2 linked regions of the Drosophila melanogaster genome follow. The protein of the gene in region 1 purifies or fractionates together with the protein of each later gene. This does not show direct contact. Each region holds a gene or a part of one and is shown on either strand. Other genes may lie near its edges.

What was found.
Region 2: the proteins of fz2 (region 1) and Impbeta11 purify together in Drosophila melanogaster (affinity purification with western blotting, with the first as the bait; one study listed by BioGRID). This does not show direct contact.

Annotation. Positions count from the first base shown.
Region 1 is NT_037436.4:19,232,369-19,237,206, forward strand, and holds the start of fz2 (frizzled 2), read right to left. Parts: upstream 3,006-4,838; 5' UTR 2,646-3,005; exon of another isoform or gene 2,437-2,645; intron 205-2,436; 5' UTR 1-204. Other genes in the region: CG33647 (uncharacterized protein), read left to right, coding at 3,992-4,066, 4,126-4,443, 4,510-4,689. UniProt on the Drosophila melanogaster protein: Receptor for Wnt proteins.
Region 2 is NT_033778.4:15,680,729-15,687,937, reverse strand, and holds Impbeta11 (importin beta11), read right to left. Parts: upstream 5,220-7,209; 5' UTR 5,134-5,219; coding exon 3,016-5,133; exon of another isoform or gene 3,005-3,015; intron 2,935-3,004; coding exon of another isoform or gene 2,537-2,934; intron 2,419-2,536; coding exon of another isoform or gene 2,237-2,418; intron 2,178-2,236; coding exon of another isoform or gene 2,132-2,177; intron 2,073-2,131; coding exon of another isoform or gene 1,856-2,072; intron 1,714-1,855; coding exon 604-1,713; 3' UTR 523-603; downstream 1-522. Other genes in the region: Cep89 (centrosomal protein 89kDa), read left to right, coding at 1-503; CG30082 (uncharacterized protein), read left to right, coding at 1,856-2,072, 2,132-2,177, 2,237-2,418, 2,537-2,934; CG30091 (uncharacterized protein), read right to left, coding at 5,535-5,926, 5,994-6,124, 6,195-6,240, 6,296-7,032, 7,093-7,209.

The sequences.
Region 1 (4,838 bases):
TATATTTTGTTTTTATTGGCGTTTAAAATTGCTATTTCACTTGGGTTTATTGTATTTCTATATTTATCGGTTTCGGATCGTATACGTTTGCATTAGCACGGCGCGGAACGGAATGGTTGCATTTTCGTATATTCTATATATAGGCGTTTGCTACATCAGATTGCTGATTATTTTGGCTGGAGAGATCCGCTTGATTTGACGAACCTGAAAAAGATATTGCCAATTAATTGTTGATCACGTGCAAGTGGCTAAAACAGCTATTAAATAGAAAACAAAGGACTTGCAGGGGGCAACCAAAACGCAGACGTGTAGTTTGCTGAAAAAAAAATTGAAAATAGAAAAACACAGACGACAGGTGTGAGTGAAAAGGTGTAACCCGGCCAACAACAACTAAATCAAATCGCAGGAAAATGCCTGCATTTTTCCTCTTTTCCCCTTCCGCCGCCCATCCATCGCTTGGCTGGATCTCAATGGGCTCTGGGGCAAATATTTTAAATGCGCAGATTTTTGGCATGTTTTAGTGGCAGTTCACGTTTTGAATTGTTGCCATGCCCCTCGGAAACGGTCCAACGCTCGTTTCACTGACAATTTAATACAAAAAATGCCAAACATTTTCACAAAATAAAAGGACCAGCACAAAAAGCCAACGTGGAAAAGTTTGGCAGTCGTATAGCGTGTGTTAACCCTTTAAAATACCCAAAAATATATGTGTTCGTACGTGTAAGCCGGGCTATGATAAAAAAGTTGTTTGGAGCGAAATTGTAGGTTCCTTTTTTATGAATGTGCTTTGCGAAGATATAAATGAGACACCAGTGGGTGTGTGGAATAGTTCAAAAGCCATTTGCATTAATGAAAAAGAAAAATATTTCAGTGAAATATTTAATACACTCAATCAGAAGGAAGTAGAGGGAAATTAAAATTAAGATTGGGTTTAATCATTACTTCAAAGAACTAAATAAATATTGCATAATTAGAAATAACAAGAAACAAAAATTAATTATTATTTAGGAAAATAATTAACCAAAATGACCAAATTTCCTATTTATTTAACCCAAACGCAAATATGAATAATATTCTTCGTTGGCCAGAGAATGTAAACATTTCTGCACTTATTGCTTCGACATTCCCTTAGCGTTTTGCATAATTTAACACACGGGTTAGGCTGTGACCCCTGCAAGAGCCACCCCCCGGATTTCCCACCCGCTGAGTCTGGAGCCCGGCCCCGCCCCCATTTCTTGCTAATACCATTCCGCCCCTTTCGACCAGAAGCGGTGCGTGTGCTTGCTGCTCCCATTGAAATGCCAGACTAACTCAATTAGAGTGCGCAGACAGAAGTTGAAGTTGAGTGTTACTTTGACTGCCGGCCAACATGCGAGTGCAAGAAAATATTTATAAATATTTCGAAACATCTGAAACTGCTCCTATTTAAAATGTAGGGAATTAAAGAATGCAATGATGTGGGGAAAAAACTTGAAGACGCGTCTCAATAAACAGACAGCCGGATAAAAGAGTAGGAAACTCGGCAAAAGTATCTAGATACTTTTTGCAGCTAGGTAGCTAGCTATGAGATACTCTCACAAAAACAGCAGCAAAAGCAACAGTGCTGTCTGGCTTGTGAACTCGACTCGTAAATGTACACAGAAAAAAATTGACCTGTCTTGGATCAATTCTTTATTGATTATTTACAACAATCTTATTGTTTTCAACATTATTCCACAAATGCAAAAAAAATCGTTCAAATTTAGACTTTAATTAAAAATAATATTGTCTTTGTTAATGAACTTGAATGAACTTTAATAAAGTGTAATAAGGTGTAATAAGGAAAAAGAAATAAATATTCGAACTTACATTTATAAAAAAAATGTGAAATTCCGAAAAACTTTAACAAAAATGGTCAAGAAATCAACAAGTTAAAAAGTGTATTTTTAGCGTTGTTGGAAATATAAGCTTATGTAAAGTTAAATATATTCTTTTATATTCTGGGCAAAAAAAGCAATATAAAGAGTATTTAGTCCTTTAAAGCTACGTCGAAATATCTACGTTTAACATTTGAATTTATAAAAAGTTTATGTTCTTAAACAAACAACAACTGAAACAAGATGTGTACACTCAAAATTTAAACTTATAAGTGGCTGAGTTTTCCTCCCTGTGTGCGAAAAACACAACAGAAAACAAAAATAAAATGCAAACAACGGAAAAGCGGAAAAAAAGAACTTGGCGTCGTCTGAGTTTAGCTCTCTGTGCTCTCTTTTCTTTTGCAGCTGTGTGAGTGTGTGGCTGTTGTTGTCTTTCCCATTTTCCCGTAGAAAATGTGAATGATTTTCCTTCACTTTCATCAACAGCTGCGCTCACACAAATGCAAGAAGTACTCATTTTCGAATTGCTTTTTGTTATTATTTTAGATACACAAATGAGTTAGCTTTTTCGTATCTTTACCGTTTGGCTGTGTTTTTGTTGTGCTGATTTTATATTTGTTGTGTTTTTGTATAAGTTTATTACTAATATATTTTTATTTGTTTGTATATTTTATTTGCAGATCTCTCGATTTCTCGGTTTTGTGTTCTTCGCCGGCTTGCTATTTTGCAAATGCCGCCGAAATTGCAATCAATTGCAGTTTTATATCTCCAGCTCACACAGATACTCACGCACACTCACACAAACACACACCAATGCGCGACGGCGACTGCGACGCCAACTGCGACTGCGGCGTCGACCGCGCTGCTCACGTCGTATGTCCGTTAATTAAACGCGCGATTTTTTGTTTGTTTCGGTTTTTACATATTATCTTTTCATGTGCTTCTCTCTTTTGTTTTTATTCCGCTTTGTTATTGTTATTAACTATTGTTATCAGCCCTCGGCGCTGCCAACGTCGACTGCGCTGCCTTTCGCGGCTGCTTTTTGGCTTTTTTTATTTCCCGTCTGCGGTGTAAGCGTCTGCGATTTTCACGTTTTTCCTTCTGCCGCGCTGTGTAGTTTTTCCGGTGATTTCCACTTGCCAACTGACTTTCTTCCGACTTTTCCAAACGGCCGGCCGTTGTTTTGCAAAATTCGCAGAGAGAGAGCGATAACGATTAAGAAATGCGGGGGAGGAAAAATAGAGAGATGGAATTACAAATGCGCCGGTCCAAAAAGCTCGCGAAACGATTTGGTAAACGGAACAGAGCTACGTGAAACGTAAGGCCTGCCCGGAATCACGTAACGTAATCACCAAACGAATCACCAAACGTTAATTTTTTGAAACAAGTTTCTGCAAAATAAATAAGTCATTATAAAATATATTAGAGCTATAAATTTATGCAATGTTATTAACGAAAATATTTTGTATGCTAGACTGGTCGAATGGACCAATAAAAAAGTAATTTCGCACCACTTATTCAAAATATGATGAAATCGTCCTGAATCTAACCAAGAAATTAGTCATAGAAATCAAAAATAAATTAAATATAAATGCGTAATAGTATGGATAGCCCATTTAAAGAAGAATTAATAGGTATCAAGATAATTACTTCAAGGGCTTTGATAGAAATTATATTCAGTAAAATCGCGTTCGCAGTAAAATAAAGAAAACGTATAAGTTCTAGCTAAATCATCACTCATCTTAAACCCGTTTTTCTTTTTTAAGAATACAAATTATTTCAATATGTTATTACTAGAAAACTATTATTAAGCTGATTCTAAATGCTTCATATTCGTGCAAATTTGTTTCAGATCTCCCACTCTAATCCGTATTAATTATTATAATATAATATTATAATATATTATAATATAATAATTTTATAGTATTATTTTATACTATTAGTACTTTGCGCATCTCCAACTTGAAAAGTCCAAATAATTTACCGATATTAATGTTCTATCAACAAAAATAAGCAATTACAAATTAGGTAATACACTAATTGAGCACATTAAAAACCCATTTATTTTAAAATATACACACCTACGTGCGTTTGAAATGCATTAGATTTTAGTCTTCAATTAGTTATCCACTAGTATGAACGTCAAAAAGCTTTTTATATTGGTTGACCTGATTCTGGGGACCCTAATCTTGAGCAGTGTTCGTGCAGAGGTCAGTAGTATAGAATCATATATGTAAGTCCTACTACATTAACCTATCTCAACGTATAGAAAGAAGTTTTTATGACGAAAATTGAGTGCCTCAATTATATGCCAGAATTGGTGAGAAACGTAAGCTGCTACTTAAATGAAACTTCCCACCCCACTGGTTCAATATACGCAGAGTTCATATTAACCCAAGATGTTGAGGACCTGAAGGGCATTTACATTTTGACATTTAAGAGAGGTTCATACGTGACGAATTTTACCTCTTCACATGTAGACTATTGTCAGATGCTATCAAGTGTGGAAAATCATTTTTTATTTAGAATGGTTACTACGCAGCTTCGCGAAACCGCCAATTTTCCTATACAATGTCCGTTGAAAATGGTAATTAACACTGGTAAGAAATTGTATAAAACTCTCTAATATCGTATTTTGGAAATTGTGTTTTAGAATAAACGGTATTACGCAAAGGGATTTACAGTTAACTCGAAATTTATACCCAGCTATATGCCAGAAACGAACTTCATTTCGGACGCCCATTTAAGCGTTAAGGATCGCAAAGTATTTCGGTTGCTTATTAAAGGTCGCTTTTCTAGAATACTTCGGCGAAATTATATTAAAACCGAATAGATCACTATATAAATCAAAATGTGTAATTGCAAAATAAATGGATTTTTTTTACTTACAATATTTTTGTTATACATATTTACAGAGAATTAAAGCTATAAATAAGCTACTAAAAATAATCGTTTAGTTGAAATCGTCCACTTTTGTAACTA
Region 2 (7,209 bases), on another chromosome or scaffold:
AGGCGGCCTACGCGCGAACTAAATCCGAACTAGCCGCGCTTAAAAGTGCCTCATCGGCGGCGCCCGCTGCGGTTGCTCCTCCAGTTCCCGCCGAATCCGAGGCACTGCATCAGTGCAAAGCCCTGCTTGAGCAATTGCGGCAGGAGCATGCGAGAGAGCGAACTTGCCTCCAGGAACAGCTGCAAGCCACCACCGCACGGGCAGCTTCACTGGTCCGCAGCACGGAAAAAGCCAAGCACAGCAGAGATCGGCTTAAGGCTCGTCTGAGAATGGCGCTGCAGTGGGCCCAAAAGCTGGAGGCAGGGCAGGCTGAGGTGCGCGATACCTACGAGGCGGTACGCCGCCTGGAAGTACTTGTCCAGCACAAGGAGTCACAATTGCGCGGATTGCATGCCCGGAATGCAGAAGAAATGGACAAGTTGCGTCATAAGTTACAGCAGAAGGAGGAAACGATATGTGCGCTGCTTAGAGGCAAAATGGAGCGCAGACCGGCGGTGGATTAACGCGTAGAACATAGTTTTTAACAATTAAAAATATATAATTTCAATACAAAATACATTAATAACTTAGCGTAGAAAGCTTTTAAAGCACAGCAGTCCGGAATCAGCCGGACTCCACCTGTTCGGAGAGCGTCCTGTCCGCAGGCGCTCCCGATCCGGAGCCGGAGCCCGCGCACACCACACAGGCCTTGGGCACAGTCTGCTCTATGTACATGGTAATCCTTTCCCGTACCTCGGGAACCACGGAGCACATTACCTGCTCATATCGCTGGGATCCCAGCTGTGCCTGCAACGACTGCAGCTGCCACTTGAGATACTCGGTAAGGGGGATCTTGTAAACGGGATCTTTGAGCACCAACTGCCTGTGGCGGTCGTCGTGATAGGTCTTGGCCGGGTAGCCCTTGGTGTGAAATTCCTCGCTGACACCGCCGCCACTGCCCAGCTGCTGCTGCAGATCGTCCAGCTCGTGTTCGTCATGAATGACCAATGAATCATAGAAGCGAGGCGTGGCCTGTGACGCACCCTCCTCGGTGGCGGCGTACTGCTTGTCCATCACTTCGCCCAACGTTTCGTCCACCAGCTGCAGGATATGTGGCAGGCGAGCAAGCAGCAGCTCATTGCTTCCAAAGATCGAGGCGAAGGCCAGGCAGAAGAGCTTTCTCTTCTCTGCGTGCGTGTCGGGAACCATTGGGAACATCTCGATCCAAACGTCCAGGATGCGGGCCAAAGCGTCCGCTTGTGGCAATTGCTGTACCACCGACATGAAAACAGACTGGTCAATGAGCAGGGTGCGGGCCACGATGGTCAGATACCATCCCATTGTCATGGGATACTCCTGCTTAAGGCACACCTGCTGGAAGACAAAGGGCAGTGCTGGGCGCACCAGCCGCAGTCCCAACGCCGCGTCCGTTTTCAGGCATGTCTCGATGATCCGCAGCATGGCAATTATTCCCTCCACACGTATGTCCTCGAAAGAGCGCACGCAGTAGGCCACGAAACCCTCACCGTAACGACTCAGATAGGCCTGAGCGTCCAGCAGTATATAGGCATGAATCAGCTGCAGCACGGTGCGCAGGTTCTCCGATGACATCTCGATAATAGGCAGAAGGTGGTCGCACAGACCAAGTAGTTCGGGTGTCAGTGCAGTCGAGTTCCCAATCACCGCCAGCCAGAGCATGATACCATCTTCGATGAGGTAGACGTGCGAGGGTTGCTGTGCGAAAAAAAGTTAGGTATTGTTACTCATTGCGGTTTCATAAAATGCTATATTTTAGCTTAGTTACAGATAAGATTGTTGTGAAAGAATGAATGCTAAACCATTAAAAATAATCAGTACAGCCAGTGTTGACCTCAAGATGAAATCGCTGTGGATTGCTAGTTTCGCCTTTCTGGTTTGTCTAACACCAAAACTAAGAGCCCAGTTTATTGATCCCAATTGCGGAACTACCATCAATCTTCCGCCCACGAATAGAATCGTTGGAGGTAGAACTGCAGATATAGGATCTAATCCGTGGTTGGCCTACTTGCACAAAAACTCGTCTTTAGTTTGTACAGGCACATTGATCACAAAAAGTTTGTACCTTCGGAAATTTGTGATTTACGAATTGTATTTTTAACAATGATTTTCCTAGGGTTTGTACTCACCGCAGCGCACTGCCTGCACAGCTTCCATTTGTTGTTAGTATAAAGTATAAGCTCGTATTTGATTTTTAAACTAAATTAATTCTAAAACACAGAACGGTTCGCCTTGGGGAATACGACACATCGACACGCATCGATTGTACATCTGAGTTCTGTATTCCGACGTATGAGGAGTACAGCGTAGAGAACGCCTACATCCATACATTCTTCGGTGGAAGACAAGACAGTCGCAACGACATTGGATTGCTTAAACTAAATGGAACCGTCGTTTACAAATGTTAGATGCCATCATATGTATCAATTTAGTTTATCCCCAATTTTATATTGCTCTACGGATGAACGGATCTACTAAGCGGTGTGCATTACAGTTACTTTACTATTATTCTCATTTGCAGTGTTCATTCGACCAATTTGTCTGTTCCGGGATCCAGGCCAAGTACCTTATAGTTCCACCTACGAGGCCGCTGGATGGGGTAAGATTGATCTAATCAACACCGCCACAGTTCTGCAAACAGTGAACCTGATCAGGCTTGACCAAAGCGACTGTGAGCGATCCCTGCGCACTTCGCTTTCATACGGTCAGTTCTGCGCTGGACAATGGCGGGCGGACACCTGTAGCGGTGACTCAGGCGGTCCGCTGTCGAGGAAAATGTCAAATGGCCGCATAACCCGCACCGTTCAGCTAGGTATTGTCAGCTATGGTCACTACTTGTGTCGAGGGCCAGGAGTCTACACATACGTTCCAAGTTTTACTAACTGGATACTCAGTATTACCCGCTGGACTCAAAACTGACTCAACTATGTAAAAATTCTTATTGTAAATAAATAAAAAAAAATGTATAGCATATGGAATTAAACATAAAAAATCACTCACCTGAAGATCCGTGCTCAGCTCGATCACGCTGTAGAGGAAGGGCTTCATGGGCTCTGGGACATCCCGTATCGTTCGAACCAGCTGCTCTAGGGTGCCAATGATGGCGCAGCGCAGAAGGTCGTGTTCCTCGCTCTCGCGCCACAGGAGGGGTAAATACGCAATGAACTGCAATGCCTGCGGCTCGATGTACTCGCTCATCTTCTCCACAAGTAGCGTCATCGTGCCCAGCACCACGATCTTGGTGTCGCACTCGCCGGCCTCATGGAGCAGCAAAAAGAGGGCCTCGAAGAGGGATGGAAAATACGGGTGGAACGCTTCCGGCATAAACTCAAAATCGTCGATCAACAGATTCAACGTCCTGGCAGCGGCCAACCTGGTGGGCATGTCCTCCTGCGGCCGGAGAAGATGCAGGCATGCTTCGTAAGCCAGCGGTCTCAGTTCTCTGGGCAACTGGACGCCAACCCAATGGCCTACCAGCCAGATGATGCGACGCCGTAGGATCCGAAAGTTCAGAGCTTCCACGCGCAGCTCCGCAAGCAATTGGGATGTCAGCCATGCGCCAAAGTCCAGCTTGTTAAAGAAATGAAAGGCTGCCTGGCCTACGGCATTGTAGATAGCGTCTTTCAGTAGAATGGCCTTCAGGTCAGATTCCGGGGTCAGCTGCAATTGCTGGGCACGCCTTACGAAACGGAGCACCTCCGGAATCATCACTTGCGAATGCTGAGTAAAACATGTGAAATAAAGGGTCTCCACGCTTGGCCTTAAGGCGTACTTCCAAGCATCACCACCGCCGTCGTCCTGGTCATAGCCCTCTGGATCCTGCTGCCACTCCTCCAGCTCCTGTTGAGTGAGCAGAAAATAGTGCGTCACGATCTTCTCACAGATGTAGGTCACTCGCTCCGCTGTGAAGAACTTGGCTTGGCTTTGAGCAGCGCTGGCTAACAGCTCATCCTCTATGTGAGCACCACCTTCGGGCGGAGCACTGATGCTATCGTTGCCGCTCAGCATGATACCTTTCAGCATGTTCAGCGCCTGTATGGCAAAGTTTTTAAAGTTAATGCGATCGCCGGCGTCGAAAATGAGGGCGGTGCCCTCGTGGAACACATAGTGGAAGCTGAACTCCAGGGCCACAGGAACGAACCTCGCAAAGGACACAGAATGCCGCTCCATCAGTTCATTGAGGGTCTTCATCATCTTAATCACAAAGCGCTCCAATTCGGTGAGTATCGTGGCAGTGCCTGGTGTGGCCGATCCCACTTTCAGTTCATAGCGCAGTTCGAGGCACTGTCGCAACCGCTGGAAAAGCTGCTCCACAAAGTTCATGTGATCCGTGGACTTGTACGGCTTGGCACAGCCGTAGACCACCAGCTTGCGCAGGGTTCTCATCACCACATACGCCCGTTGAAGGGCATTGAGGGCCATGGCCTCGTCCTTTCGCACGAGCTGCAAAAAGCGCGTCGTAAGTGGTGCCCAAATGTCCCACGCCAGATATCCAAATATCTGTAAGCCCAGCTCCTGGAAGGCACGCTGCTCGGCCATCAGACGCCGTGAGGCCAGGGCCTTGAGGACATAGTGTAGGACAATAAGAATTCGCTGCTGCAGGGCCGAATCCCCATCCGTACCGCAGGACTGCAGCTGCTTCATGAGTGTCGGCAGCAGATCCGGCCAAAATCGCGGGTAATCCGTGCGTGCCAGGCGACCCAGGAGCACGGCTACCTGCAGGGCTACCTGGGGCACTTCCTCTGCGTCGTAGTGACGCAGAAGTACTTCCCGGATCTGCTGCTTTTGCTCCGCGGGCAGTTCCTGCCGCGAATTGGGCCGCCAATAGCGCTCCACGCCATTCTTTAGGTAGACAGCCGCCATCCAGCGCACCTTCACCTCGGAGTCCTCCGTACTGGACACCACGTCGCCGCCGCCACCTCGTCGCATGCTCAGACGGGCAATCGTGGGAAAGAAGCCCGGCTGCTGCTCCCACTCGCGCAGCTGCGCCTCCGCCTTCTGGACAATCTCATGGCTCGGATTTGTGGCCGCCTGCAGTGTCTGGGCTACCAGCTGCTCCACCGACGCTCCAGCACCCGCTGCGGCTGCTCCAGATACTGCTCCCGTTGCCATTTCCATCACACGACGCCTCCTCTTGCGACGCTTGCGAGGACGAAAATTATTGGCAAATTTCTGCGGCGCGTGCTGCTTCTTGCTTGAATTTCAGTGTGACCGACCGCAAATGCTGGAAAATACTAAAACAGCAAATTTTAATATAAATAATTTTGCAAAAAATTTCAAATTTAAATTATTGTTTGTTAAGTTTTTGTTGAAATGGAATTTTAAAAGAAATTACAATACATTTAATAACAACTATTACTAAAATAGTATTTCTGAATATATAAGTAATTTTGCAAGCATTTAAACTTCTCGTTAAGTGGGCTTACAGTATATGAAATTTTTGATATTATTATTACTATTAACTTTATTAAATCAAATGGTTTTCATATCGCAGAACTTAAAACTTTTCAAAGAATTCTCTACGCCTTAACCATTTCCCCGATCCAGTCCAAGTATTCGAGAACATTGGTGTAGACATTTGAAGCGAAAGGCTCTAACCTGCCAAAGCTCGCCAGTCCGACCAGGCTGAATGCCCTCCTGTTTCCGTGGGTTAGAGGGTTTACCAAGGGACTGCCAATGCCCACGCGCAGGAGATGAGGAGAAGGGCTTTCCATGCACAACTGTTGCTCTCCGATGTCTTGGTGATCCTCCCGGTAGCACTTACTGGCATTTGTTCGCCGCACCACCACGTTAGTCGGCGTGCCCCAGCCAACGGCTATGAGATTCAGGGCGGGATCAGCAGCACGCCTTTGGAACTTCTGCTGCTCCGCTTTGTTGCTTAGCGAGGGCAGGCAGATCGGTCGAATCGATTCTAGCCGCATAAAATGAACACATTATGATTATGAAGCTAATCCGTATGGCCTTTGGAAGACACTCACCCGTGTACTGCACTTCCTCGCCCAGTTTAAGCAGAGCTATGTCGTTTTGGGCCAGGCTAACGAATTTGGGATGCTTGTGAACAGATGCGACAGCGTAGGTATGCACATCGCCTTGTCCCAGTTGAACCTTTCTAGATGTATGTACATACAATTGCACTCAGATTACTCAACTTTCTCCTCCCAAGGGATCAAAGTACTTACAATGCCGTACTTTCGGAAATCAACTGCGCCGTTGTCACCACGAAAGCTACAAGAAGAACACATTAGTAATCTTTTCGAATGAGGAAAGAAAAGATGACAACTTTTCGAAATAAGTGCGCCGTTTGAGATTATAAAGGAATCCTTGTAGACCTCAGCCAACCACTCGAAGGACCTGATCGCATCGGGACCACTTCTATCCCAGCTGTTCAACGTGTCGTTGCCCAGACACCCAGCATCGAGTAGGTCTATATAGGGTAGCACCACCTCAATGTCCGCATCCAGAACAATGCGCTCGATAAAGTCGATATGGCCCATTACATCGGTGTACATACCGAAACCTCTGCAATCTTCGGTGCCAGTGCTGACGATTCCCAACTGCGTTGCTCGCTTGATGCCATCGAACAACATATGTATGTACAAGGGTCCACCGGAGTCCCTTTTGCAGGTATCTCTGCCTACCGCGGTGCCGGCACAGAACATTGGGTAATCAAAAGTGTACCAAAATGCTGCCTCGCACATTTTCCTATCTATTCTGTAGATCTTGACCATTTGAAGATTGTTACTCATCTTCCCATTGCCCGTTACGCCCCAGCCGATTGCTGTGAACTCCTGGATGAGATCCGTTTGCGGCTTGAGTTGGTCGTTCAGTAAAATACATAACGGTTTGATTTGTGGCTTGTAAACGATACTTTTTTGCAACCTAAGAAGCGCTATGTCATTGCGATAGTTTTGTATCGCGAAGGAATCGTGGATGTAGACCCTCTCCACGTTGTATATCTCGTGGGGATGATTGTGTTCACCCGTCGCCAGTAGATGGTACACACCCAAGGTAACTGTGCTGCAAATCACATATAATTATTCAATTATATTATATTATTTATTAATTTAAGGTGCTTACAGCTGAGTGTACTTTACAATGCATTCCTCATCGGTGCACATACAATGAGCGGCCGTCAAGACGAATTTGTTAGTAATTACCGATCCTCCGCAGATAAATTCGTCATTGGTTTTTATG